7 linked regions of the Bombyx mori genome follow. The protein of the gene in region 6 purifies or fractionates together with the protein of the main gene of each other region. This does not show direct contact. Links are inferred from orthologs where the notes say so. Each region holds a gene or a part of one and is shown on either strand. Other genes may lie near its edges.

Region 1 (3,502 bases), on a different chromosome or scaffold from region 6:
CTGTAGTTGCAAAAATGTCGCTTAAACCAAATAGCCCCCTTCACCCCTCGATATAATAGTTTTCTCATTCAATACCATAACTTTAAAATATTTGCTTGACCACCTAATTCATTGTGTAATTATATAGTGTTACTGACTAGTACTATATAATACTACTAGCTGGCAAATGTTGTTTTACCATATAAATTATTTCTAGGAAAGATAAATAACCTAGATACCGACTGCAGCGCCCTCTGCTGGGTTGATTTGTGAATCTAAACCATCCAGGGTGCCACCCAAATGCATACAAACACAATCATTCAAATCAGCACAGCCGTTAAGGAGGAGTTCAGTGACACACACACGCACATAAGAAATATATATATATAAAGATATAATATAGTCCAGGTATGTGTAATTCCCGGATAGTCAAAAGATATTTGATTAGAAATTACTTAGTTATGTTTGGTTGTTTCCCAGACCCATGACGAAGGAGAAAATGGTAGTGTAGGGCCATTAAATGTGTAATACCAATGCATTTATTAATAATTACATAATGTCTTAATGTAAGTACACACTAGAAACATAGTTTTCAAAATATGACAGACAACATTCACACAGTACAATCACTCTCATTACATACATGAATATTGCTAACATATTGTCTGTAGTTTTACAGAGCACATGGTAGTCAAAAATATCTTTATTGACAATTTAGTAGAAAAATAAAAAATAAAAATGAATCTTAATAATTTAAATGCAAAAACTAAATGTATTTTTCAAGTATTTTCTTTCTAGTTGGAAAATGAAAACTAATCTGCATTGAATAAACAAAGGATAAAAAAAATTGTAAAAAAATAACAGATATCATCGATAACAACAATCCAATTGTATAAATGAATGAATTTAAAAAAATATATGTGAATTTCTCTTGGACCCGAGCTGCAACTCTTTAGACATTGAAAACCATACTTGATCATAATAGCCGTTGGCTTTAAAAAGTCAACAACAAAGTAGTTGATAAAAACAAACTTGTATTTCAATCAAACTTTAGTTGAGAAAAACCTCTGTTTTTATTATTTTAAATAACAGAAACTTTGCAGAAATTAATATTTAAAAACTAAAAAGAAACCTAATGCTAGTGTCTCCTAAACCCATATTTCTTTCTCTCGTAGAACAGATCTGTTTTAGAGCTTCCCAAATTGACAATCTTTGGACAGCCATCTCTCTGTGAAAAATAACAATTTTATTAGCATAATAATATGTATTATTATTATTATTATTATTGTTATCAGCGCACAGACGTCCACTGCCATCGTCCATCGGTCCATCTTGTGGGAGGCCTACCCACGCTACGTCTTCCGATACGCGGTCGCCACTCAAGAACTTTCTGGCCCCAATGGCCATCTGTTCTACGAGCAATGTGTCCTGCCCAATGCCACTTCAATGCCACAATCCTTTTGGCTATACATTTTATTAGGCTTGGCTTAATGTACATGATATTGGGGACGCACACAATCATTATCAGGTCACTTGATCAAGTCAGGTTGACTAGTTTCTTGTGAGTTTTTAAACTATCAAAATATAACGATGTTTTTTGATTTGAGGAAATTTAAATTAATGATTTCGATGCGATTATTTGAGTTCAAAAATTACAAAATTAAAACTTACATCCTTCTCCTGTATCGTGCACTCCTTACAATAATAAGCATCAGATACTCCAGGCCCGCCGCAAATCACACATCGCCCCTGATACGAGCCATAGTTGCACTCGTCACAAATACGAACCAACGTGCACGGACGCACATAAGAATCGCAAATCACACATTTTCCGTCACATTTCTCACATAAACGTCCAATAGCTGGAAAAATAAGAAATAGCATTAAAACAAGCGACACTAAACTTGGTTGTCTTCCATTTTTTAATACTACTAACCGACTCCGGGCTGTTTCCTGCAGAAAATTAAATCTGGATGATGCTTTGCCATGTTTTTAGTTAGGTCTGGTCTGCTGGCGAATGTTCTTTGATTGTTATTATCAAACTTGCCGTTTACTGTTTTTTTATCGAATAACCTACAAAGATTTTGACGATTTTGACCCGGTAATTTTGACAAGTGGCACCATAGATATATTTTTTTGTTACAATTTTTCCTTATTAGGAAAGGCAAAGGGATCTAAGCCCATACCGCCTCATTTGTTCTATATAATTTCTGATATAAATTTATAATAAAGCCAAAGCCAGGTCTTATAGGATTTAAATTATATGAGTCGACTATTATCAAAGCCGGCAATCTGACTTTTGGACAATGATTGGTAAATCAGAAAAAACGAATTATTGACTTTGTATTCCATTGGCAGTCACAAAACTCTTCGGAACGACATCTTAGATAAATAACAGGTTAACTATTAACCTTTATTTAATGCAGGTTTTGAACCGTATTCTTTGAAGGAGACGATTATATTCAAAACAATCTGTATTGACATATCAATAATTTTTTTTTGTCCAAATGCACAGATTGCCACCTTTGATAATAGACGACTCATATCCTGAAATAAAAATTTCATTAAGGCCGAAGCCATGTCCTATAATTTGGCACCATAGATAAGTAGTAGTAGTAGTTTCATTTTTCCAAATGGAAAGGCAAAGGTATCATAGCATACAGCCTAACCTTTTATATATTTTTTTTTATTTTATGAAATATGATACTATGAAATGAAGTGTATTAATTTATGAAACATGGCATAAAATGAAATGAGATGAGATGATATAATATGGGGTATTTTTATGGAAAACGATAATATGAAATGAAATGAAGATGATTAATTTGAGACAACAATCAACTGGGATGAAATTAAATGAAATGAGATGAGATGATATGGGATGAAATATAATCTCAGTAAAATGGTGGTCATTTACTGAGATTTTTTCAGTGGACTTTTTGGAGGATCCCGAGAAGTTACGTCCAGTGGCTTTGTTTCATTTTCCCACATTTGTGCACTGTCACAGATATTAAACAGTTAATAAACCACCGTTATTACACATTTAAACCTGAAGAAACACTAAATAGACAAAATAAAACAAATCACACAACTTCACTCCTCGCGTTCCCACCAAAAAGTCTAATTGCCGGTTTGCGATCGGTCTTAATTGTCAAGTATACTTTTGACAGTTTTACTTCTTTGGTGACACATACGTCACATATTATATGTGATAGATTCAGAAATCAGAAATCAGAAATCAGCATACCCCTAATTCAAACACATGCTTTCAATATTCGCGTCTTTTTTGTATTCCCCAAAACAATGATAATTTAGAGAAAATGACTGCAGACAAGGAAAGCTATGGAGACGAAACCAACCAGGATAGTGAGGTGGAACAAACTCCAACCGAAAATGTCAACGAAGATACTGAAGATGATAAAATAACATTTAAGGATTTGGTAAGTTTTTACATTAAACTGTGTTTGTAATACTAAGTAAATACTGTAATATAATTTTATTGATTTTAATATCAAATGGTGCC
Region 2 (4,109 bases), on a different chromosome or scaffold from region 6:
GATGATGGTAATGGTCAAGATTATGATAACGAAAAAAAAATTACAAATACCAGCTTCGCTTCAACTGAACGAAGACCTGGCAACAGCTCTAGTTTTGACTTAATAGAAGGAATATCTATTTTACCCCAATTATTAACCTATATTTTTTGTTGATGTTCTAATAAATATATAAATAAATACATATGTTGATTTTAATAATTTAATTGCATTATGACGCAGAGTAAATAATGTTTTTGCACGTGAGTGTACCATGCGCAAACTTACCCCCACTACGTCAACAAATGCTCAAGAAGTTTGCCGGCTATTATACCTATCATAATTTCACTTAGTCATTCATAATGGTGTATGTTTGAATAGCTATTGGTGATACATAAAGTAATGTACTCAATGCGACTCATGAGGATTTGATTCCGATACACATGATTTATCTTTAAATTCATTTGAATTAAATGTAGTTTTATTAAATTAAACAGCACTACGCAATACATACTTTCATGGTCATAACATATACGGCATGTTTTTTTTTCTCTGGATCATCTTCAGGAATGGTTTCTATTAAGCGGTTTTCCTTTTTCAGCTTTTTCCGTTTCTGTTCTATCTGAAATTATAAATAAGCAGTGTAAATACAATTTTATAAGTACAAATCAGTGTTTAACTTATGTTGATTGGTCATTGTTGTGAAATGATATGTAACATAATTTTGGTTTTCGATTCCCATCATGAAGTGAGATTAATATTTTTAAGCCTAGCCTTGAATTTTTTAATTCAAATAATTACAACAAAATGATACCTTGTTTCATGATAATATAAAAGTACAAAAATTTTAAGTTAAAATTTTATAAATAATTTCATTTATAATCATTTAACTAGATTCGCTTGGCAAGTAGGTGACCTCACGGGGCTCTAACCTGGCGAATTTGCTAACACTAGCCCTAGCAAGAACAGGGCTTCAAAGAATCTACCACCGGAATGAAAATGCGACAGTGACTGGTGCTTGAGGTACCTAAAGGCAGTGATATTGGATTGAGAGGATCTGAAACTACGGGCTTCATAGGTACTGTAATCGGATTTTAACATTGGCAAAGACAATATTTCTATTTGATCACCTTTATCAGGTAATTAGATAAAGCAAATCACTCACCATATGATCTGTTCGTTCCTTAGCCTCTTCATAGATGTCCAGACATTTTTTTCTTGTGTCATCATTTTCTAATGTTTTCCAAGCTCGATTCACTATTTCAAAAGCTTGTTGAGCACGCTCAGAGTCATCCTGCAATTTAAAATTCCGTAATTTTGTTACTGCTAGAATTGTTTGGTATTTGGTTATTATTTACTATTTTTAATGTTTATTTGATTAATGTTAAAAATATATTTAACCAATTTTACTTGCGAATTCAGTGAGAGATTTTTTGATATTTTTTTTTGACTAATGAAAGTGTTTAATTAATTTATAGTATAAATCGGTGAACAAGCTTTTAGCTTGCAGATGTGACTGAGTGAGTTACAGATGTTGCTACGCACCTTGAGCTTTTTGTCTCAATTGTATAATAATTACAAAAATTACAATCTTTTCAAGGTTCATTTTTATTTCATGCTCAAATTGAATAATTCATTAAGGAAGTTATTCAAAAACATGTGTCAAATGCATGTTTTATTCCAAAAATTGGTAACTGTCTGCAGAATTTAATTACAAGTATAATCATAATATGTTGCGATATTTATAGTTTTGAAGTACACAGAAAAATATTGAGATGCTATAATAGCCTGTCGCTCTGTATGTTTTATTCAATTTTCTCAGGCAAATTAAAACAATACACTAAATAATAGAGTAAATTGAGATAATATAACTTAATCAGGTCGTTTTGTCTCTATTACACTATTTTTATTTTAACCCTTTTGCATTCCATACATTACCTATGTAGTGGAGTCACAGGGCGTTCCCAGGGTCTCAACCAATCTGTGGATGAAAATGAATAGTTGACGGGCGTAACCGCCTAATCTTGTGGAGATCTTACCAAAAAACATTCATCATTTCAAAAATTCTAATAATGCAATACTAAGAAAAATTTAAAAAAGTCTTGAGTACCAATGTAATTTCAGAACTTCACTGTGGGTTTTCAAATTATAGACTACCAACTAATCTTGGTTATTGAAATGTTTTCTCACCATATTCTTATCCGGATGGACAAGAATTGACAATCTCCTATATTTCTTTTTGATTTCATCAAGTGTAGCATCAGGCTCAACCTGAAGTACCTCAAATGGGTTTAAATTGAAATAAGTGGATCCAGGACGAAGGAGCCTCTCAATCTGTTGTTTAGGTGTCAAAACGGAGTCACGTTTTTCAATTTCTTTAACCTATGAACAACAGAAATTCACGAAACATCATTGAGAATTTGTCAAATGCTTGATTAAAATGTTTTTGTTTTTTTTTCGATTATTAATTATGCATGACAATTTATAAACATGATTTAGAGTAAGCATGAAGGTATGAGAAACAAATTGTATCTGTTTTGTTTGTTATTCAAACTCTCTACATGTACCAATCGTGTACCATGTTCTTTCGTTCAGCATGTCACAACAGCTTTATCAGTTTTAATAAAAGTATTGTATAATTTAAAATGTAACATTTGGTGATTCCATCGTTGTAATTTGAACATGGCTTACCTCTGTGTAAAATTCGTCAAAAGAATCTCCCCTGTTTGTCGATGTCGTCGAAGTCATTGTTAAATGTGAATTGGAGGGTAACGAGATTACTAAATTAAATTAATTCATTTAATTCCAATTAATATTGCAGTAAATATTCACATGCTACTTTTTTGCATTTTAATGAATTGAAATTGAACGAAATGTGAATGAAATTATGTTGAGCTTGACAAATAGTGACAAGCGTGTAACAATAAGTTGGTTTTTTATAAGGGATTTTATGACCTGGTAACTAAGATTTTTAAGTCATGTCTTATCATAATTTATATTCTAATTTTTATGAAAAATGATATTATGGAGTGAAACGAAATGAAGACGATTAATTTGAGACATTAATCAACTGGGATGCAATTAAATAAAATGAGATGTGATGATATGGGATGACATATAATCTCAGTAAAATGGTGGTCACTTACTGAAATTTTTTGAGTACACTTTTCGGCGGATCCCGAGAAGTTACGTTCAGCGGCTTTTTTTCATTTTCTCACATTTGTGCAGTTTCACAGATGTCACACATTTAAAACTAAAGTAACATTATTAGACAAAACTATTAGATAAATTATTAGATAAAACAAATCACTTAACTTCACTCCTCGCGTTCCCGCCAAAAAGTTTATGTTACTTTAGCAGAGCAGCTTAACATAGATTATAGCTTACACGGACGAGCCGATATTTTGTAGAGCCGGTTACTGACACTAGACAACAGCAGTTCCGGATTTTCTTGGCGCAAATCTTACCGATTTGTTAAACTTTGTGATTACACATACACTGATTTTCCATATTGAAAAGAGGGCTTCTTGGCTTCATTCTTCTTCTTTTTCTTTAGTTTTTGGCTACGGCACGGTTTGTGCATTAGCCAGCGTCAAGTAATAAGATTTTTATAATTCGCCGTTTTAATTATTTCCAGTTTTTGAATAATAAAAAACGAAGGAAACATAATCAATTGGCATGAAATTAAACGAAATGAGATGTTATGGGACGAAATATAATCTCAGTAAAATGGTGGTCATTTATTGAAACTTTTTCAGTGGACTTTTTGGAGGATCCCGAGAAGTTACGTTCAGCGGCTTTGTTTAATTTTCCCACATTTGTGCACTTTCACAGATACTAAACAGTTAATAAACCACCTTTATTACACATTGAAACCCGAAAAAACACTAAATAGACAAAATGAAACAAATCACACTATTTCACTCCTCGCGTTCCCGCCAAAAAGTCGTCTTGACTTCATTATTCATTCAGTATACATGACAGGTTAAATAGCACAGGTGGCACATTATCCTGTCAATTTACTGGACGACCTGGACGGTCTGAGGGATGCGTGAATGGGTGTTGTATGCGATACGTGATGTACATTATTGAAAGGTATGTACCTACCTACTGTTTTACGATTTTACTTATAT
Region 3 (2,568 bases), on a different chromosome or scaffold from region 6:
TGCCCTACGCGGTGCACTAAAATAATTATGTCAATTGCTGTTACTAATGCGCCAGGATTAACTTTGCCTTCTTTTGTTTTTAATGTATGATTTATTTTTTTAGATCTCTCACATATAGATTCATTCTCAATATCTTATAGTTTAGGGCTAAATGACCGACCGTGTTTCATTTGTTTACGATTATTATATGTTCTAAATGAAATCATTTACAGTTTATTGAAAAGGAAATTAAAGTAACGTCCAATATTAGTACTACATAATATTTGCAATATATTTAATTAATATCATATTAAATATACAATATTTAAAGAAAAAATATATATGTTTTAATATTGTACGAAAAAGTGGTTTAATATAATTTTTATATTGACATTTCGACTCACCAAACTGTGTGTCATGCAAGAGCCTATAATTTTGACATTTGCCTTTTCAGAACTTCATCTAAGAAATCAAAGAAGTCCAGAGAGCCTACGTTATCGCCGCCGCCGAAACGGTCGCGTCACAGGTTAGTTAATACACCTGACACTGAATAGGAAGTTAACAGCATTTTTTGTTTCCCTGCTAGACTAATTAAACAAAATTCCATGGGGTTCACAATGAATATATTGGTGAACTACATGTTAAGCGCCATGTGTTTGAACAAATTAACAAATTTATATTAACGTTGAGAGTTGGAGTCTTCTCAAACTTTTGAGAGCCAGCATCTTGGGATGCGTAAAGCTTCAGACGCAGATTACGGAAAATATCGCATTTCGTCGCGGATACACGTACACGGAAAATAAAACGCTTTAATTATTATTTGATTGCAGTGATCGCCGTTCCCGATCCAGGTCTAAGTCTCGCGAGAAGGACAGAGATCGAGAGAGGAGCCGCGACCACGAGAGAGAGCGAGACAGGGATAGGCGACGTCGTTCGCCGGCCACGCCCCCCTCGCACCGCAAGCATCACACCAAACACGCCAAGTACAAGTACTGACAGTCGGTCTAGCAACACCACCCCACTTGGTGTGACCAACGGATGGACTATTGATAACTTATCCTGTGCTACTGCAAACATTTTCATTGCATATTTTTATACAGATTGACTGGTTGAACACTTTACATACTCAAGGACATGATAATTCATGGTCACGTGTAACGTTTAAAAATATAAAATTAAAAATATACAAATGAAATACAAAGAAAACCTTCATTAAACGAATTTGCTAAAACTTGAAATTTGTGGACACCGTATCAAATATCGTTTGCGAAAAGACCGGCGCCCGCGCGTGTTTTGTTTCGTCACTGAATGGGTGTGCCGCAGGGCGGGGGTGAAGCGCCGCCCGGGGGTAAGAACAGGGTTGCATCTAATCAGCGCGCCGCGTTCAAACGATACCGCGATCATCGACCGGTGTAAACAAACCAGTACATAGGTACCTTCCTACCTTGCCGCATGACCGGCCAATTCTGTACTTCGCGCGAGTGACCACGCTTATTGTTTCGAGTAGATAATTAAAGATAAATTAGACAAATATTAGGAACCTATTTTTTTTTTGCTTAATGAATATATAATATGTGAATAATAAATATGTGAAGTGTTCAACCATTCAGCCTGTATAAAGGAAATTAAAATGAGACAGATTATTGGTAAACTGTTCCGTAAGTGAAAATGGGTATGAATAGAATGCCGTTGCAATTTATTTACATGGATTTATATATTATATGGATAAAGTGATCAGTGATCAGTAGGGAAAACTAATTCAACATTAACATGTTTATAATAGAATCATAAATAAATGCAATGATGATTTAATTAAAAAAAACGAAGCTTCAAACATGATCTTTCATGGAAAAAAATACACTTTCACACTAGGCATATAGTACTAGCAAGTAACAAAGACATTCTATATTATCATTACTATATTGCATGGTTTTGGTGACTAGTGTACCCGAGATAAATATAGAATTATGTTCGTTCGTCGTGAGTGCCTGATGATGCTCCCATATCGTCCTCAGCTTTTGAACGTTCCATCGCGTTTGACATGTAAATATTAGATCGTAATAAGAATGATTAAATGTATGATTGAAGAGCTGATGTTTTATTGCTTTTTTTTATAAACCTCAATAAAAGACCGAAATATAATTAATTACATTAGAGGTAATCAATCCTCCTATAACACAGTATTTTACAACACGATTCAGTAATTCTCCAAACCTTCTTTATAACACGGTACTTCTACAACACGATAAATACATAATTACATTAGAGGTAATCAATCCTCCTATAACACAGTATTTTACAACACGATTCAGTAATTCTCCAAACCTTCTTTATAACACGGTACTTCTACAACACGATAAATACATTTTTGTTTGAAATTGTTTAGTAAATTACATTATGCACTATAAACACACATTATAAAGGAGTAACCGAAATTTTACTGCTTATTTTTGGAACGAAGTTCCTTGCGGCAGGCTTGGAGGGGATAGGGATTTTGCTGCGCGACCGAACTGAAAAAAATGTGATAGTAAAACCGTAAGAAAAAATCCGTGGAAAAAAGTGCGTGGAATAAAACCGTTAAATGAGACG
Region 4 (3,061 bases), on a different chromosome or scaffold from region 6:
TGTGTGTTACATATTTATGGTTTCATGCATTTCAAGTTTCCAATCTTGATGGATAGTGTCGTACACTTGTAACCAAGCCAACAATTATATTATGGCCTACTAGAAATTCAATATTAAATTTAAATTTAATTTGTTAATTGATGATCTTTGTATCCGTAGATTCGTATATACATTTGGTTCTGTGATATAAATTATCAATCTAACTGTAAATATCAATTATAATCGAGATATATTGTACTACGAATTATGTCATTTGTAAATAATAGTATATTGTAATACATACATGTAAAGATAAATGTGACCAGTTTTTTCTTCCATACTAAAACTACAGAGTAACCTCGCAAAAAATATACATACCTTACCATCGAAAGAAGATTGATGTTGGTAAATTTCCGCAATGTCAATAATCTAAAGTATGGAGTTCTTATATCCATTATATAAATAGTATATAAACTAAATCTTTAACATTCTAATGGATTTAACTACATTGAAACAAAAAATACTACTTATTTATGATTTATTCTGACCTTATTGTGTAGATATAATCGTTGTTTTTTTTTTAAATTATAGTGTGACTAATGATCTAATGCGAAAATAAACACGCACACTGGTAAACATGTGTTGTCGAACCATTAAAAATGAGGTTTAAAAAACTATAATGGAAACCTGATATTTATTACATATTTTTGTTATAATCCTACTACCTATTATTCCAGTGTTTATTATTGTTACTCATCTTCTAATAGAAACGTTGTCATTAACTATACTACAGATAGTCTTGATCCACTGTTTAGTTTTTACTATTAATTCATCAGCACTAAATATCAGATACGTCGATACAGAGGTAAAACTTTTAACTGCAGCTTCAAATGTATGAGAAACAATTTTGCGGACAAACGATAATATCTTCCTTAACTTAGTGCGTCATTACTCCATTTTAATATTTACAAGAACATTTTTATGCAGTCGTTTTTTGAGAATTAACATTTTCGGAAACTTGACTTTTCTTCCCTTTCTGCATGTTTTCTACCTCGGTCTGTAGTTCTGAGTATCGCTTTTGCAAAAGCTTCTCGCGTTCAGTCTGTCGGCTGACGTCTTCGGTCAACGATTCTATTCTACGTGGAATGGCCGCTTTCTCCTGTTCAGCCAAGAATTTAAAGGTCGATAATTCTAAATTAGCTTGTTCTATTTGATCTTGTAATTCTTGAAACTGTTTTATGAGAGCTGCGGCACGACTCTGGTAACCTCCTGTTAGCACACGAAGTTTCTTTTCCATTTTTGAACATTTTTTTGCTTCCTTCGCCATGTGATTTCTATTCTGCTCTAATCTTTTCTCAGCAGATTCTAAACGATCCTTCTTGCTTGCCAAATTAGCACGCGTGTAACGATGTTGACCGGGTAGAAAAAGTACCTATAGGAAAATGTGTGTAATTACTGTAATGTGCTAATTGATTGATTTCTTTAATCCTACGATTCAGTTAGTAAAAAGGATTATTGGAAAATTATATATAGATTTAACATTATAAGCATTTTGATCTCGGCCACTTCTGTACCACCACTTCACATTATATTTAGTATAATAAGTATTATTACATTATATTTGCAAGCCAGATTTTGTTTCTTTTTATTTGTGTATTTATGTGTCTTTAGCTTGTGATGTGTATTGTGAGCCTAATAAAATAAATAAATAAATAGTAACATAACACTTCCAAAGAATAGGTGCTTTGATTTAGTCAGCCACTAAAAAAAATTGGTAGCATTGAAATATTGTGCGAAAAGGGTAAAAAAAATAATACTATGATTCTCATACCTGTGCTAAACATTCCTCCCAGACTTGAGTGTACGCGTCTATACTAAGGTCCCCATGACTCATTCCCGCTTTCACGACTTCCATTTCTTTCTTCAGTGCTTCTTTAGCGGCAGCTAATTCTTCGTCAGCAAACTCTTCATATGGATGCTGTTCTAAGTATGCTAAATGGGATGCTTGTAGTTGAATAGCACGCTTTTTATCTACACCTGAAAAATATAATTCTATTAATATTTGAATGTCTTTACACTCTTAAGGTGAATTTTGATTCCTGTATTCCGATACCTTTGTTAGGTTACGCGATGCTACAGAATTACCGCATATTAAAATTTAAATGCTTATGTATTCACGAAATCGAATTATTAATCGTATCCGTAGTAATGGCCTCAATCAGTTCATGCCACATAGGGTAATAAATGGGCTTCATTTTCAGAGCTTACCGAAACTAACTTGATTTTTTGATTGTGTCACTCTGTCTTTGTAAAATACTGATGTTAACAAGGTATGTTGAGAGCACGGTTCATACTGTAGCAACAAAATTCAAAACGTTGAGCAAATTTATATTTGTAAAAGCTACGGCCACCAGACTGGTGATGGCGGTACAATAGCTGGTCAGTAACCACCAACGAGGCAATCAAGTATTTATTTATTGCTTAGATGGGTGAACGAGCTCAGCTGGTGTTAAGTGGTTACTGGAGCCCATAGACATCTACAACGTAAATGCGCCACCCACCTTGAGATATAAACTAAGGTCTCAAGTATAGTTACAGCGACTGCCTCACCCTTCAAAGTGAAACGCATTACTGCTTCACGGCAGAAATAAGCAGGGCGGTGGCACCTATCCGCGCGGACTCACAAGAGGTCCTACCACCAGTGAAATGTTTGAATGTGTGAAATAAGAAACCTTCAGGCGGGTCCCTGAGGGCATCGTAGTGCAGCATGGTGACCATCTCGGCTTTGAGCAGTTCCTCGGCGTGCTGCAGCGGCGTGAGGGCGGACAGCGAGGCGGCACCGCGCAGCACCGACACGTTGACGTCGGCCGGACGCGCCGCGCCGCGCTGCACCGCCAGCGAGCGACGCGACAGCTCGGCAGCGCCTGCCGATAATCAAACCGAGTTGGTCGTAGCGACTTTTAAGTTCAATGAAGTTCAAACGACGAGTACATTTCATATGTGGCTTATAAGTAAAAATCCTCGCAAAAAAAACTTTCCAAAGGTATAGGCGATGGGTTCGTTAATAATTCTTACAAGAGCA
Region 5 (4,294 bases), on a different chromosome or scaffold from region 6:
GAAAAAATCTCAGTAAATGACCACCATTTTACTGAGATTATATTTCACCCCATATCATCTCATTTCATTTAATATCATTTCATTCCATATTAACATTGTTCATAAAAATAAAAAATAAAATTAAAATAAGACATGACTTAAAGGTCTTAGTTACCAGGTCATAAAATCTCTTAATAAAATATAAGTATGACTTTTTGGCGGGAGCGCGAGGAGTAAACTTGTGTGATTTGTTTTATTTTTTCTATTAGTGTTTCTTCAGGCTTACATGCGTAATAAGGGTGGTTTATTTACTGTTTAGTATCTGTGAAAGTGCACAAATGTGGAAAAATCAAATAAAGCCGCTGAAGGTAACTTCTCGGGATCTTCCAAAAAATCCACTGAAAAAGTCTCAGTAAATGACCACCATTTTACTGAGATTATGTAGAGATATACGACAAAGGGAAGATCTTCCACCGAGCGGGTGATATTGATCGGTAGACCGACGGTTCGAATGTTGTTGTTCGGAACTTGTATATATGCGCTTTATCTTGAAAATATCGTAAGCGAGATTCAGGCATCGATCAATTATCTTGCGTTGTATGATGGCTACCCGCCACATCACTCCCCTCCGAGACTGGAGATCGTGTCATATTTAGTTATCGTTGTCCGTGCTGAGATTAGCTTGCAAGTGCCAGTGCTGCTCGAAGTTTGCGGTGAGTCGAAACTGAGCTTGAATGCTGCGTGATTGTCGCCAGTGCTGCTCGAAGTCTGCGGTGAGTCGAGACTGAGCTTGAAAATGCTGCGCGATGAGGCAGTGTAGGTGCGTGCCGTAGGGCCAGGAAGCGTGGTGAGTCGGCTGCGATGGTCCTGTTGAGGCTGCGATGCTGGCTTGCTGTGGGACGACTGTAGATGACTTGCTTTTATCTGCGAGAATGCGGGGATTGTGGTAACCGAAGTTCTTGATGCGCTGATGATGAATGAGAAGGTTGCGATTGTTCCGTCGCAGGTCACCAGTTGTAGGAAGCTTAAACGACGAAAGGAAGATCTTCCACCGAGCGGGTGATATTGCTCGGTAGACCGATCACGTCGGGGTCACCAGTTTGTAGAGATATACGACAAAGGGAAGATCTTCCACCGAGCGGGTGATATTGCTCGGTAGACCGACGGTCCGAATGTTGTTGTTCGGAACTTGTATATATGCGCTTTATCTTGAAAATGTCGTAAGCGAGATTCAGGCATCTGTCAATTATCTTGCGTTGTATGATGGCTACCCGCCACAATTATATTTCATACCTTATCATCTCATCTCGTTCCAGTCCACTTCATTTCATGCCATGTTTCATATTAATCAACTTCATTTCATTTCAGTTCATATTTTCATTTTTCATAAAAAATATGGAATATATATTAAAATAAGACATGACCTAAAGGTCCTTGTTACCAGGTCACAAAAACCTTTAAAAAAATTTATAAACATAGTAGGTAGGTATTTACATTTATGTTTGAGTTTGATAAACATACCTAAAAAATCATACAACTATCTATTTTCATGTTTAACAAACTGTAAAAATAATTCATCCACACCAAAATGGCATTAGCACTTCAAAGAAGAGCAAATGTAAGTATTGAAAAGTTAATTGAAGACAACGCTTTGACAAATGTTTGGTTAGGTAGATCACAGTAAATATTGGAAAGTTACATGTTAAGTATATTTCAGGTACGATTACCTCCAGAAGTCAACAGAATCCTATACATCAGGAACTTGCCCTACAAAATATCCGCTGAAGAAATGTATGATATCTTCGGCAAATATGGCGCAATAAGACAAATAAGAGTGTAAGTTTGTCTTTACTAATTGTTTAACGTAGATCCTACGTAGCTAAATCTGGTGTTCCTAGGTGTTCCTAGGAATTTTAATGTCGTTCATATCAATGCCCAGAGTATTGCGGCTCATTTCCCTGACATGCTTGCAAGTTTTGATTCTAAGAATATCCATGCTATACTTGTTTCAGAGTCTTGGCTTAAGCCATGTCTTCCTTCTACATCTTATACCATTCCTGGTTTTCAACTTTTTAGGAACGATCGTATTAATGGCGGTGGTGGTGGCGTTGCCATTTATATCCGTTCGTATTTTAATTGTGCAGTTGTTAATGTATCGGCACAGCCTACGCCGCCATATGCGGGCGAGCACTTATTTCTTGAAATAGAACTTCAACACACGAAGATGTTACTTGGTGTTTATTATTGTCCTTCGTCAAGTATAGATTTCTTTACTTCTTTTGAAACTCTGCTAGAAAATACAATGCCTTCATATACTCATACCATTATCATGGGTGACTTTAACACATGCCTACTTAAAAACAATTCTCGAACCACTTTATTTCGCTCGATGATCGAATCAGTAAACTTAACTGTTCTACCGTTGAACTCGACTCATCATTTTCCAAACTGTGCTCCTTCACTTCTTGATCTTATTTTCGTTTCTTCTCGTGACCACGTGGCTGACCATGGACAGTGTTCAGCTGACGCTTTCTCATACCATGATCTTATCTTCGTTTCATATAAAGTACGACCTCCCAAAGCAAAATCAAAAACTCTTCTGCTGCGCAGTTTTAATGGTATGGATCTTGAAAGTCTTCGAGAAGATGCTGGCAGCATTGACTGGACTGCTTTGACGTGCTCTACCTCAATCAATGAGAAAGTTGATCAGTTCAATGCCAAGCTAACTGATCTATATGACAAGTACGCACCCTTCCGACCAGTAAGAATTAAACATATGCCAGCGCCGTGGCTTACTGATGAAATTAAAAGTCTATTGACCAGGAAGGCAGCTGCTAAATTAAAATATAAAAAAAAACCAACCTCTGACAATAGTACAAATTATCACCGAATCCGCAATCACTGCAACAGAGTGTGTAGGGATGCACAACGCCAGCATATCCATAGTGCTATCGAAAATGGTGATCCAGCTAGAGTCTGGAAATTTCTTAAATCACTGGGGATTGGAAAATTACAACATGACTTTCATCTATCACATTCGAGTATTGATTTATTAAATCAACATTTCTGTGCGTCATCCCTTTATGACGGGACAATTAAATCTAATACATTAAATCACATTTTATCTCTTCCGATCCCAAATTGTTCTCCATTTGTTTTTAATCACCTAACGGCTTGTGATGTTAAGCGGAGCATATTATCCATAACTTCCAATGCTGTTGGAAGTGACTGTGTGGCCCGTAATATGATCCTTCCTATCCTAGACCAAATCCTTCCCATTATTTGTCATATCCTGAATGAATCATTATCTAGCGGCATCTTTCCAAAGGCTTGGAAAGAAGCACAGATTACACCACTGCCAAAAAAGCCGAATCCTACATCCTTTTCAGAATACCGTCCAATTTCCATTCTACCGTTTCTTTCAAAGGTTTTAGAACGCCTGATTCACAACCAGCTCAGTGAGTTTCTTACGAGAAACGAGCTTTTAAACCCTTATCAGTCCGGCTTTCGTCCTGGCCATAGCACGGTCACAGCCCTGGTGCATATTACGGATGCCATCAGATTTGGCATGGAGAGTGGGAAACTGACGGTGTTGGCATTGCTGGATTTCAGTAATGCTTTTGGCACCGTCGATTTCGACATACTTCTAGCCATCCTTAGCTCCATTAACATATCTCCAACCGTGGTTGATTGGTTTCGCAGTTACCTGTCTGGTCGCCGACAGCGTATTCACTGTGAGAATGCTTATTCTTCATGGTGTGAAACGCACGTAGGTGTACCGCAGGGTGGCGTTTTATCTCCTTTACTCTTTTAAATTTTTATAAATTCTATTTCTTTACAACTTACTTCTTCCTACCACCTGTACGCAGATGATCTACAGATATATACGCAATCTTCTTTACCAGAGCTGACCAACGCGATAAAGATCCTGAACAATGACTTATCGATATTGTCCCGTTGGAGTAAGTCTCATGGATTGAGGGTGAACCCGTCAAAGACACAGGTCATTGTTGTCGGTAGTTCAAGAATGTGTTCGAAAGTTACATGGTCGCAGCTTCCGGCTATTTTATTTGACGGCGCACAAATTCCTATCAGCGATACTGTGAAAAATTTGGGTATCTTAATTGATAAAAACCTTTCATGGAACGCACAAATAAAAGAGGTTAGCCGGAAGGTGTTTGCATCAGCTGGATCGTTGAGACGGTTACGAAATTTTCTTCCAACTGCCACTAAAACTGCGCTTGCACAGTCTTTACTTCTTCCAATTCTTGACTACGCTGATTCCAGCTATCCGGATCTAACCGAAACACAACTT
Region 6 (4,212 bases):
CTCATTTCATCCCAGTTGATTAATGTCTCAAATTAATCATCTTCATTTCATTTCATTCCATAATATCATTTTTCATAAAAATATGAATATAAATTAAAATAAGATGTGACTTAAAGGTCTCAGTTACCAGGTCATAAAATCCGAAATCCCTTATTTAGTTCCCATGGCGCATTTTATCCGATTCAATCCGTTAATTTTTTTGAGGCCCTCTTCTTGGTTTACTAGCTTTTTATTTCCGAAATAAGCTGTAACGAATGAAACGTGACTATAGTGTCAACAATGTAAATCAGATAAAAAATGATAAAAATCGACGTCTTAATTAAGACTACTTTGTTAATTGTTTAAATTTTTCGACGGCAGCTTTAAATTTATACAACAAAAGTGCTGTTATGTACGCTGTTCATTCTGGTAAAAGCGTCAGAACGAGATAGACATTACTAGATTTATTCAACTTATTTAAATCAATAAATTTAACAAAAAATGGAATCTTATTATTAGATTCTACATAAGGCTCAAAAGCTTCTGCAAATTTTAAATATACTACGGTGAATATTACTCAATTTCAACTTTACTGCAAAGATAAAAAGAAGCTCTTTGATGTGCCAACATTGTCGAAGCGGATCAACGGCGTGAATCGCAATTCCGATTCGATGGTAGATTCAGCGAAGCACTGCTCTTGCTAGGGCTGATGCTCGCAAAGTCTCCTAGGCTAGGCCACGTGAACTCGCATACAAGTTCGGCGAAACTAACATAGCCGCTTGTGGTTACTAGCAATAGGTCACCAAAAAAAAATTTAATGAGCAATCCGAAGGTGATGGGATTTTTACAATAATTCTTATACGGTCTAGTTTTTTTAAATAATTTTTACCATTCAATGCATTAAACTTGGTTTACGGTCATAAACCTTTTGAGTTAAAAGTGATTTAAGTAGTTACTTACTTATAACCTCGATCTAGAAGATATATTCTCTCTAGAAAATATCTTCTCCTCATCACATGCCAAAGAGGGCTCAATGAAAGTGCTATCACAGGGATAGTGCCTATTTGCAAAGAAAAAACTATTCAGTGTGCGCACGCAATTTGTACGATCTGTAATAGTATAATTATTTACTTCCTGGTGGTACTAACTGGTGCTAGGGCTGGAAGGGTCTTGTCGGTCCGCGCAGGTGTATGCGGGCTCACCATGCCTATTTCTGCCGTGACGCAATTTGTTTCGGTTTGATGGGTGGTGCAGCCGTTGTATTGTAAAAAATGTAAAAACTCATATCCCAAGGTGGAAGGCGGCATTTACGTTGTTGAAGTCTATGAGCTTCTTTAAGCACTTAGCATTACGTGGGCCGTTAGCTCGTTCGTCCTTAAGCATTAAGAGAAAATATAATTCAAGGGAGGTTTGTTCGATATGTTTTAGTACTGTTTATTCGGAAACTATCTACTTGGAAACCTTTTTTTGGTTAAATCGATAGTTCTAACAGAAGACGATTGTCAAATTGACCTTCACAAAGTTTTACTAAAACCAAAGGCCAAAAAAGAACCGAAAAAGTGACGACTTAAACAACAGTAAGTATTATCTATAATTAAGCACATAGATTCCACATTATACCATAGACAAGACAGTCTCTGTGGTATGTTGACACTTATTGTCAAGCGCGTTAACCTCAAACAAATCAGTTTTGTTTTTTACTGTAAATTTATAAATGAATAGATCTTAATAATCACGAACTAAATCATACCTTTGTAGTTAAAAGTCTATTTTATACAGTGAATTCAGTAGCAGTACTGTGAATTAGCTATGGATGGTCCACCAGGGACCGGATCTACGAATAACAATGCTTCGGTGGGGCCTCCACCGGGGATGCCAAACTTTCCTCCGATGCCGCCACCACCGGGATCTATGGGACCGCCACCGGGGTCCATTGGACCGCCACCAGGAACTATGGGACCGCCACCAGGAACTATGGGACCGCCACCAGGAACTATGGGACCACCACCAGGAACTATGGGACCGCCACCAGGAGCTATGGGACCGCCACCGGGATCCATGGGGCCTCCACCAATGGGTCCGCCTGGACCACCACCTGTTAGCTCGTCTGGTGGACCTCCAAACATGCCGCCGGGAATAGGTCCACCTCCACCAGGAATGATGCCTCCGGGAATGGGACCACCGCCAATGGGGCCGCCTGGAATGGGTCCACCTCCAATGGGCCCCCCGGGTATGGGACCTCCTGGTATGGGTCCACCCGGTATGGGACCTCCCGGAATGGGTCCTCCCGGAATGGGACCTCCAGGAATGGGTCCACCCCGAATGCCACCAAATATGATGCGTAATAAGAATAATTATAATAATCAAAATATGGACATGGGACCACCTGGGATGAGACCACCTATGGGACCATGGGATGGACCACCAGGCCCACCTGGTCCACCTGGCCCCCCTGGGCCTGGGTGGGGAATGCAAAGTGATGGTCCGCCAGGATGGAATGATCAAGATGATGATGATGAAGAAGAAGAAGAAGAAGATGGGGAAGAAGATTTATCCTCTGACCAACATTCTTCTCTGCCATCACTCTTGACCATGAAGATTGAAACACCAGAAGAATTTAAAAATAAACAGGGAAATGCTGGAGGTGTAGTACTCCCAAAGGCTCTGGAAGAAGCTCTTGCTTACAAAGACCAAAGACAAGCAGCTCTTGGTAGTGAAGAAGATAAAGAAACAGGTAACTTTTTTATTTTATAGATTGGTGAACAAGCCATGGCCCACACATTATTAAACTATCAATGGAGCCCGTTGGCATCACAACATGAAAGCCACCACACCATTATATATGGTTGAAGGCTCAATTGTATGTTAGAACTGCCATCCCGATTTAAATTCACTTAGGTGTTTCAGAATTTTTCTTAAAAATGTATTCTTTTTCAATGGACTTATTATTGATAATGAAACAAAAAACGAATAATAAAATGAAATACAAAACATACTGATACTCTCTTCTTAATCATTTCTATGTTATTTTTATAGTTAATCATTGTCAATAGCCAAGTCAATGTCTGTAATCGATTTTAAGTTTCATTTTTACTAGGAGATGACTACAAATTCATAACTATTTGGAATTTCTAAAAGTCTGAGCACATTATTACTAATTATGATGATTGTAAACTTAAACATCCATCTTAACTAAGTTTATGTTTCTTAGCCTAAATGAAAATAGCCCAGCCTTTATTCTTTTATCCAGTATCTCTATATATCTATCACGGCAATCTAAATTACTTCCATATTTAATAAATTTTTTTTTTATCACACTGAAAATTTTTATGGTTTAATTTCATATTTTAATTGTGATTTTATTGCTTCCAATGTTTTGAACAACTACAGTTTTTCTGGTCACTGATGTAAACTGTAAAACTGTAGCTGTAGCTTTAAATATACCTATATCATGCAACATCTGCAGAAAATACTAGCCCATAGACATCAACACATAAAAGCCACTACCCAACATCAGACATGAATTGTAAGTCTAAATTTCATAGTAGAACAGCTGCCCCACCCTTCAAACCGAAACACATTACTGCTTCATGGCAGAAATAGGCAAGGTGATGGTACACACTCGTGCATGCTCACAGCACACTCTACTACCAGTATATGTTGCTCTTTTAAGATCCAAAATGTTCCCTACATATTTCTTTCAAAAATCCTATAGACATTCTGAAAAAAATTGAGGTAACTACATTGGCAAACAAGCACTTTACTTTGAGTTCTATTTTGTAAAAAAGGGTCAGTTATAAAGTTATATATTTTGTATATAAAATAGCACACTTACCTTGTTGGTGGTGGTAGGACCTCTTGTGAGTTCGCATGGGTAGGTACCACCACCCTGCCTATTTCTGCTGTGAAGCAGTAATGCGTTTCGGTTTGAAGGGTGGGGCAGCTGTTGTAACTATACGTGAGACCTTAGAACTTATATCTCAAGGTGGGTGGCGCATTTACGTTGTAGATGTCTATGGGCTCTAGTAACCACTTAACACTAGGTCGGCTGTGAGATCGTGCACCCATCTAAGCAATAAAAAAAATAGCACATTAAACAGTACCTTATAATGATGTTTTGCCCCTATACAGATGTGCAAAAAGACATGGAAGCACCGCCAGCTCCAGTGATCAGTACGGAGTATGACGTGGAAGAGGATGAACAGTCAGACGATGAAAACATTCCTGATCCAC
Region 7 (3,500 bases), on a different chromosome or scaffold from region 6:
ATAGTATTTGATGTAGAATAACTCTGCTTTGGAAAGAGCAGAGTGAACACCATCACAATTAAATATTGTAAATAACTGCTGATATTCGTATTGCAAACAGTACTTATAACGTTTAAAAAAAAACGAATTTATATTATTTCATCAATGTAGAACTTTGCATAAATTAAGACATTATTTATAGGTCTAATGACATACTTCCGCGAGGCCGTTGTTAACACACAAGAACTCCTCGACTTACTCGTGAAATGCGAGAATAAGATTCAAACTCGTATCAAGATTGGCCTTAACTCGAAAATGCCTTCGAGATTCCCTCCGGTCGTGTTTTACACACCCAAAGAACTTGGAGGTTTAGGAATGTTGTCTATGGGACATGTTTTGATCCCGCAGGTGAGATTTTATTTTAAAATTTAATTTACAAAACAGCAATATTTGTTGATGAATTGTATCAAGATTCTTCATAATCGTTTGATAACTTGCGTTTTTTTTTAGTCTGACCTACGTTGGTCAAAACAAACAGACGTCGGCATAACGCATTTCCGTTCTGGAATGTCACATGATGAAGATCAACTAATTCCGAACTTGTACCGCTACATACAACCTTGGGAAGCTGAGTTTGTAGACTCCCAGCGAGTCTGGGCTGAATACGCACTTAAGAGACAGGAAGCTAATGCTCAGAATAGGTAATTTTGAGTTATTCTAATGTCCATGATAGCCAGTACTCTAACAACATTTTTGATTGATTTTGATTTGATTTAACAATAACTTAACTGATCTAAGTCTGTGTAAATTGTAAAAATACATACAAATATTACTTACTCTATAATCCCAATTTAATCATATTTTGGTTGGAGAATTGAAATGATAAATATTTAAATTTAAGAACAAGTGATGAACTGCGTAGGGGTCCTGAAACCAGAGAGTCCCTGTGCTCTGGGGGCAGACCGTGACTATAGACTTGCTGATCGCAATGTACTGTAGCACTGTCTGTCTGAAAATACGCTAACTGATCTAAATAAAACTAATCAAGTTGAATATTTGATTTGAAAGAAGGTATTTTATAAATCATATTTGTACTACAGACGATTGACTCTAGAAGATTTGGAAGATTCTTGGGACAGGGGTATCCCGAGGATCAACACACTTTTCCAAAAAGACAGGCATACACTCGCTTACGATAAGGGATGGCGTATACGTACGGAATTCAAACAGTATCAGGTAAGATTAATTGCACACAACAATTTATTCATATATCTATATATTTGTGTATAAATTAAATTATTTAATAGAAAATGTGAATTAATTGAAACAAATGTTTTCAAAACAGGTCCTAAAGCAGAATCCATTCTGGTGGACTCACCAGCGTCACGACGGCAAACTGTGGAACTTGAACAACTATCGCACAGATATGATACAAGCATTGGGAGGAGTTGAGGGTATCCTCGAGCATACATTGTTCAAGGGAACTTACTTCCCGACTTGGGAGGGTTTGTTCTGGTATGACATAAGACATAATAAATTTACTTATAATCCAAAATGGTTGAGAATTTACTGATTATAAATGATGATGGAAATATAGTATCTGGTACCCATAACACAGGGAATCCTAACTTGGGCTCGATGACCGGTTGTGACCTGTTTCTAGGCTATGTACAATAATCGGAGGCTATTTTTAAGTGACATAAAAAAAAAAAAAAAACAATTATAATGTTTGCAATAAGTGCGCTTTTGTAATAAATAAAACTCATTTACTTAGGGAAAAGGCGTCTGGTTTCGAAGAGTCGATGAAGTACAAAAAGTTGACAAACGCCCAACGATCCGGGTTGAATCAGATCCCGAACCGTCGATTCACATTATGGTGGTCGCCTACAATCAACAGAGCGAACGTCTACGTCGGTTTTCAAGTAAGATCTTCACATTGCCTATACATTACCTTCTCGTGAGATTTTATGATTTTAAGTTTACAAATATGGCCTTAATAAATTGAAAAGTACTTTTATGATTAGCTATGGTTAGATTTATTGAGATTTGGTTGCTTATTTCACGAGTCCTGTCACCTTAAAATATATTAATGGGCAGTAATTTATTCCCATTTCGACTCTGAATAAAATTTCTCTCTTGGCATCTTACTTATTTATCTATAAATGCTAAAGACGATTTAAACAACATAATAGTGTATGTTATGAGATATTCAAGTTTTAATGCATGGATATGATAATGTGATAAATTAATTTTCTTTCAGGTACAACTGGATCTTACTGGTATATTCATGCACGGTAAGATTCCGACATTGAAGATTTCACTCATCCAAATCTTCAGAGCTCACTTGTGGCAGAAAGTACACGAGTCGATTGTTATGGATCTTTGTCAGGTAAAATAGTTTTATTATAATTTAAAAAGTATAACAAATAGATAGGGCACTGTTGCATGCATATTTGGTATTATATATCTAGAGTTCATTTATAGTGTTTTTTTTTGTTTATTGCATACATTGGCAAGTGAGCTCACAGCCGAACTGGTATTAAGTGGTTACCGTTTCCTATACACATATAAAGTTAAAGTGCCTATCCATTTTGAGACATCATGTGAAGCCCTAAGTTTTGTTAACGATTGTCAACATCATTGAACTGGTAGGCAGCGGCTTGGCTCTGCCCCTGGCATTGCTGAAGTCCATGGGCGACGGTAACCACTCACCATCAGGTGGGCCGTATGCTCGTCTGCCTACAAGAGCAATAAAAAAAAAAAAAAAAAAAAAAAAACCTGATTGCTTTACAATAGTAAGAAGCAAGTGATACTTACACGTGCGAGCTAACACTACGCCCTGAAAAGCATATTTTGTGGATTTAATTTTTATTTTAAGATGTTTACTAACGTTTGCATTATGTTGGTGAACACATGTTCAATAAGTACTTCACTAGAAATATAACTTCCTGTCGGATTTGTACTCTCAGTTAGTCCCAGTGCTCAGCATAAGTACTGTCACGACGACACAATGGCTACGATTTCTATCTCTCTTAATACTTTAGGTTTCGTTCCCTAAACATAGTCGTAACAACTATTTTATCACAGGTATTCGATCAAGAACTTGACGCCTTAGAAATTGAGACGGTACAGAAAGAAACCATTCATCCTCGTAAATCTTATAAGATGAATTCATCATGCGCCGATATATTACTGTTCTCAGCCTACAAGTGGAACGTGTCCCGACCATCCTTATTAGCCGATACAAAGTAAATATTCAATGAATTTTGATGTTTAATGAAACTATAGCTATGATATTTCATTGAAATTTTTTATAGAATAATGTAAACATATTTTACAAATTAAAGTTATTTGTATTGAGTAGAATTGAATGAATAAATAGAATACAAGCCTACAGTTTTCTTGGTGTGATATTTTATTAGAATACACATAGTGTAGAAGCATTTTTTTTATTACTTAAATTGTATTAATCCACAGGGACACAATGGACAATACAACTACACAAAAGTACTGGCTTGATA

What was found.
Region 1: the proteins of splicing factor 3B subunit 2 (region 6) and Phf5a purify together in Homo sapiens (affinity purification with mass spectrometry; 4 studies listed by BioGRID and IntAct, with this or other methods). This does not show direct contact. The link is inferred for Bombyx mori from reciprocal best matches to the Homo sapiens genes SF3B2 and PHF5A.
Region 2: the proteins of splicing factor 3B subunit 2 (region 6) and DnaJ-21 purify together in Homo sapiens (affinity purification with mass spectrometry; 3 studies listed by BioGRID and IntAct, with this or other methods). This does not show direct contact. The link is inferred for Bombyx mori from reciprocal best matches to the Homo sapiens genes SF3B2 and DNAJC8.
Region 3: the proteins of splicing factor 3B subunit 2 (region 6) and U2 snRNP-associated SURP motif-containing protein purify together in Homo sapiens (affinity purification with mass spectrometry; 3 studies listed by BioGRID and IntAct, with this or other methods). This does not show direct contact. The link is inferred for Bombyx mori from reciprocal best matches to the Homo sapiens genes SF3B2 and U2SURP.
Region 4: the proteins of splicing factor 3B subunit 2 (region 6) and cell division cycle 5-like protein purify together in Homo sapiens (affinity purification with mass spectrometry; 3 studies listed by BioGRID and IntAct, with this or other methods). This does not show direct contact. The link is inferred for Bombyx mori from reciprocal best matches to the Homo sapiens genes SF3B2 and CDC5L.
Region 5: the proteins of splicing factor 3B subunit 2 (region 6) and 14 kDa subunit splicing factor 3b fractionate together in Homo sapiens (co-fractionation; 5 studies listed by BioGRID and IntAct, with this or other methods). This does not show direct contact. The link is inferred for Bombyx mori from reciprocal best matches to the Homo sapiens genes SF3B2 and SF3B6.
Region 7: the proteins of splicing factor 3B subunit 2 (region 6) and pre-mRNA-processing-splicing factor 8 purify together in Homo sapiens (affinity purification with mass spectrometry; 3 studies listed by BioGRID and IntAct, with this or other methods). This does not show direct contact. The link is inferred for Bombyx mori from reciprocal best matches to the Homo sapiens genes SF3B2 and PRPF8.

The regions. Positions count from the first base shown.
Region 1 is NC_085114.1:14,383,839-14,387,340, forward strand, and holds Phf5a (PHD-finger 5A), read right to left. Parts: upstream 2,023-3,502; 5' UTR 1,968-2,022; coding exon 1,916-1,967; intron 1,842-1,915; coding exon 1,651-1,841; intron 1,208-1,650; coding exon 1,118-1,207; 3' UTR 501-1,117; downstream 1-500. Other genes in the region: ATP-dependent RNA helicase DDX47, read left to right, coding at 3,300-3,419.
Region 2 is NC_085115.1:4,913,982-4,918,090, reverse strand, and holds the start of DnaJ-21 (uncharacterized protein LOC101735997), read right to left. Parts: upstream 2,801-4,109; 5' UTR 2,725-2,800; coding exon 2,668-2,724; intron 2,359-2,667; coding exon 2,167-2,358; intron 1,271-2,166; coding exon 1,142-1,270; intron 599-1,141; coding exon 491-598; intron 1-490. UniProt on the Homo sapiens protein: Suppresses polyglutamine (polyQ) aggregation of ATXN3 in neuronal cells.
Region 3 is NC_085111.1:15,847,100-15,849,667, reverse strand, and holds the end of U2 snRNP-associated SURP motif-containing protein, read left to right. Parts: intron 1-433; coding exon 434-505; intron 506-809; coding exon 810-975; 3' UTR 976-2,068; downstream 2,069-2,568.
Region 4 is NC_085115.1:11,723,283-11,726,343, reverse strand, and holds the end of cell division cycle 5-like protein, read right to left. Parts: intron 2,904-3,061; coding exon 2,712-2,903; intron 2,017-2,711; coding exon 1,811-2,016; intron 1,611-1,810; exon of another isoform or gene 1,412-1,610; coding exon 959-1,411; 3' UTR 501-958; downstream 1-500.
Region 5 is NC_085111.1:9,667,854-9,672,147, reverse strand, and holds the start of 14 kDa subunit splicing factor 3b, read left to right. Parts: upstream 1-1,494; 5' UTR 1,495-1,567; coding exon 1,568-1,597; intron 1,598-1,696; coding exon 1,697-1,815; intron 1,816-4,294.
Region 6 is NC_085131.1:3,902,031-3,906,242, forward strand, and holds the start of splicing factor 3B subunit 2, read left to right. Parts: upstream 1-1,412; 5' UTR 1,413-1,788; coding exon 1,789-2,713; intron 2,714-4,110; coding exon 4,111-4,212. UniProt on the Homo sapiens protein: Component of the 17S U2 SnRNP complex of the spliceosome, a large ribonucleoprotein complex that removes introns from transcribed pre-mRNAs.
Region 7 is NC_085114.1:12,599,545-12,603,044, forward strand, and holds part of pre-mRNA-processing-splicing factor 8, read left to right. Parts: intron 1-181; coding exon 182-387; intron 388-489; coding exon 490-680; intron 681-1,079; coding exon 1,080-1,215; intron 1,216-1,324; coding exon 1,325-1,494; intron 1,495-1,753; coding exon 1,754-1,901; intron 1,902-2,239; coding exon 2,240-2,368; intron 2,369-3,066; coding exon 3,067-3,227; intron 3,228-3,456; coding exon 3,457-3,500. UniProt on the Homo sapiens protein: Plays a role in pre-mRNA splicing as core component of precatalytic, catalytic and postcatalytic spliceosomal complexes, both of the predominant U2-type spliceosome and the minor U12-type spliceosome.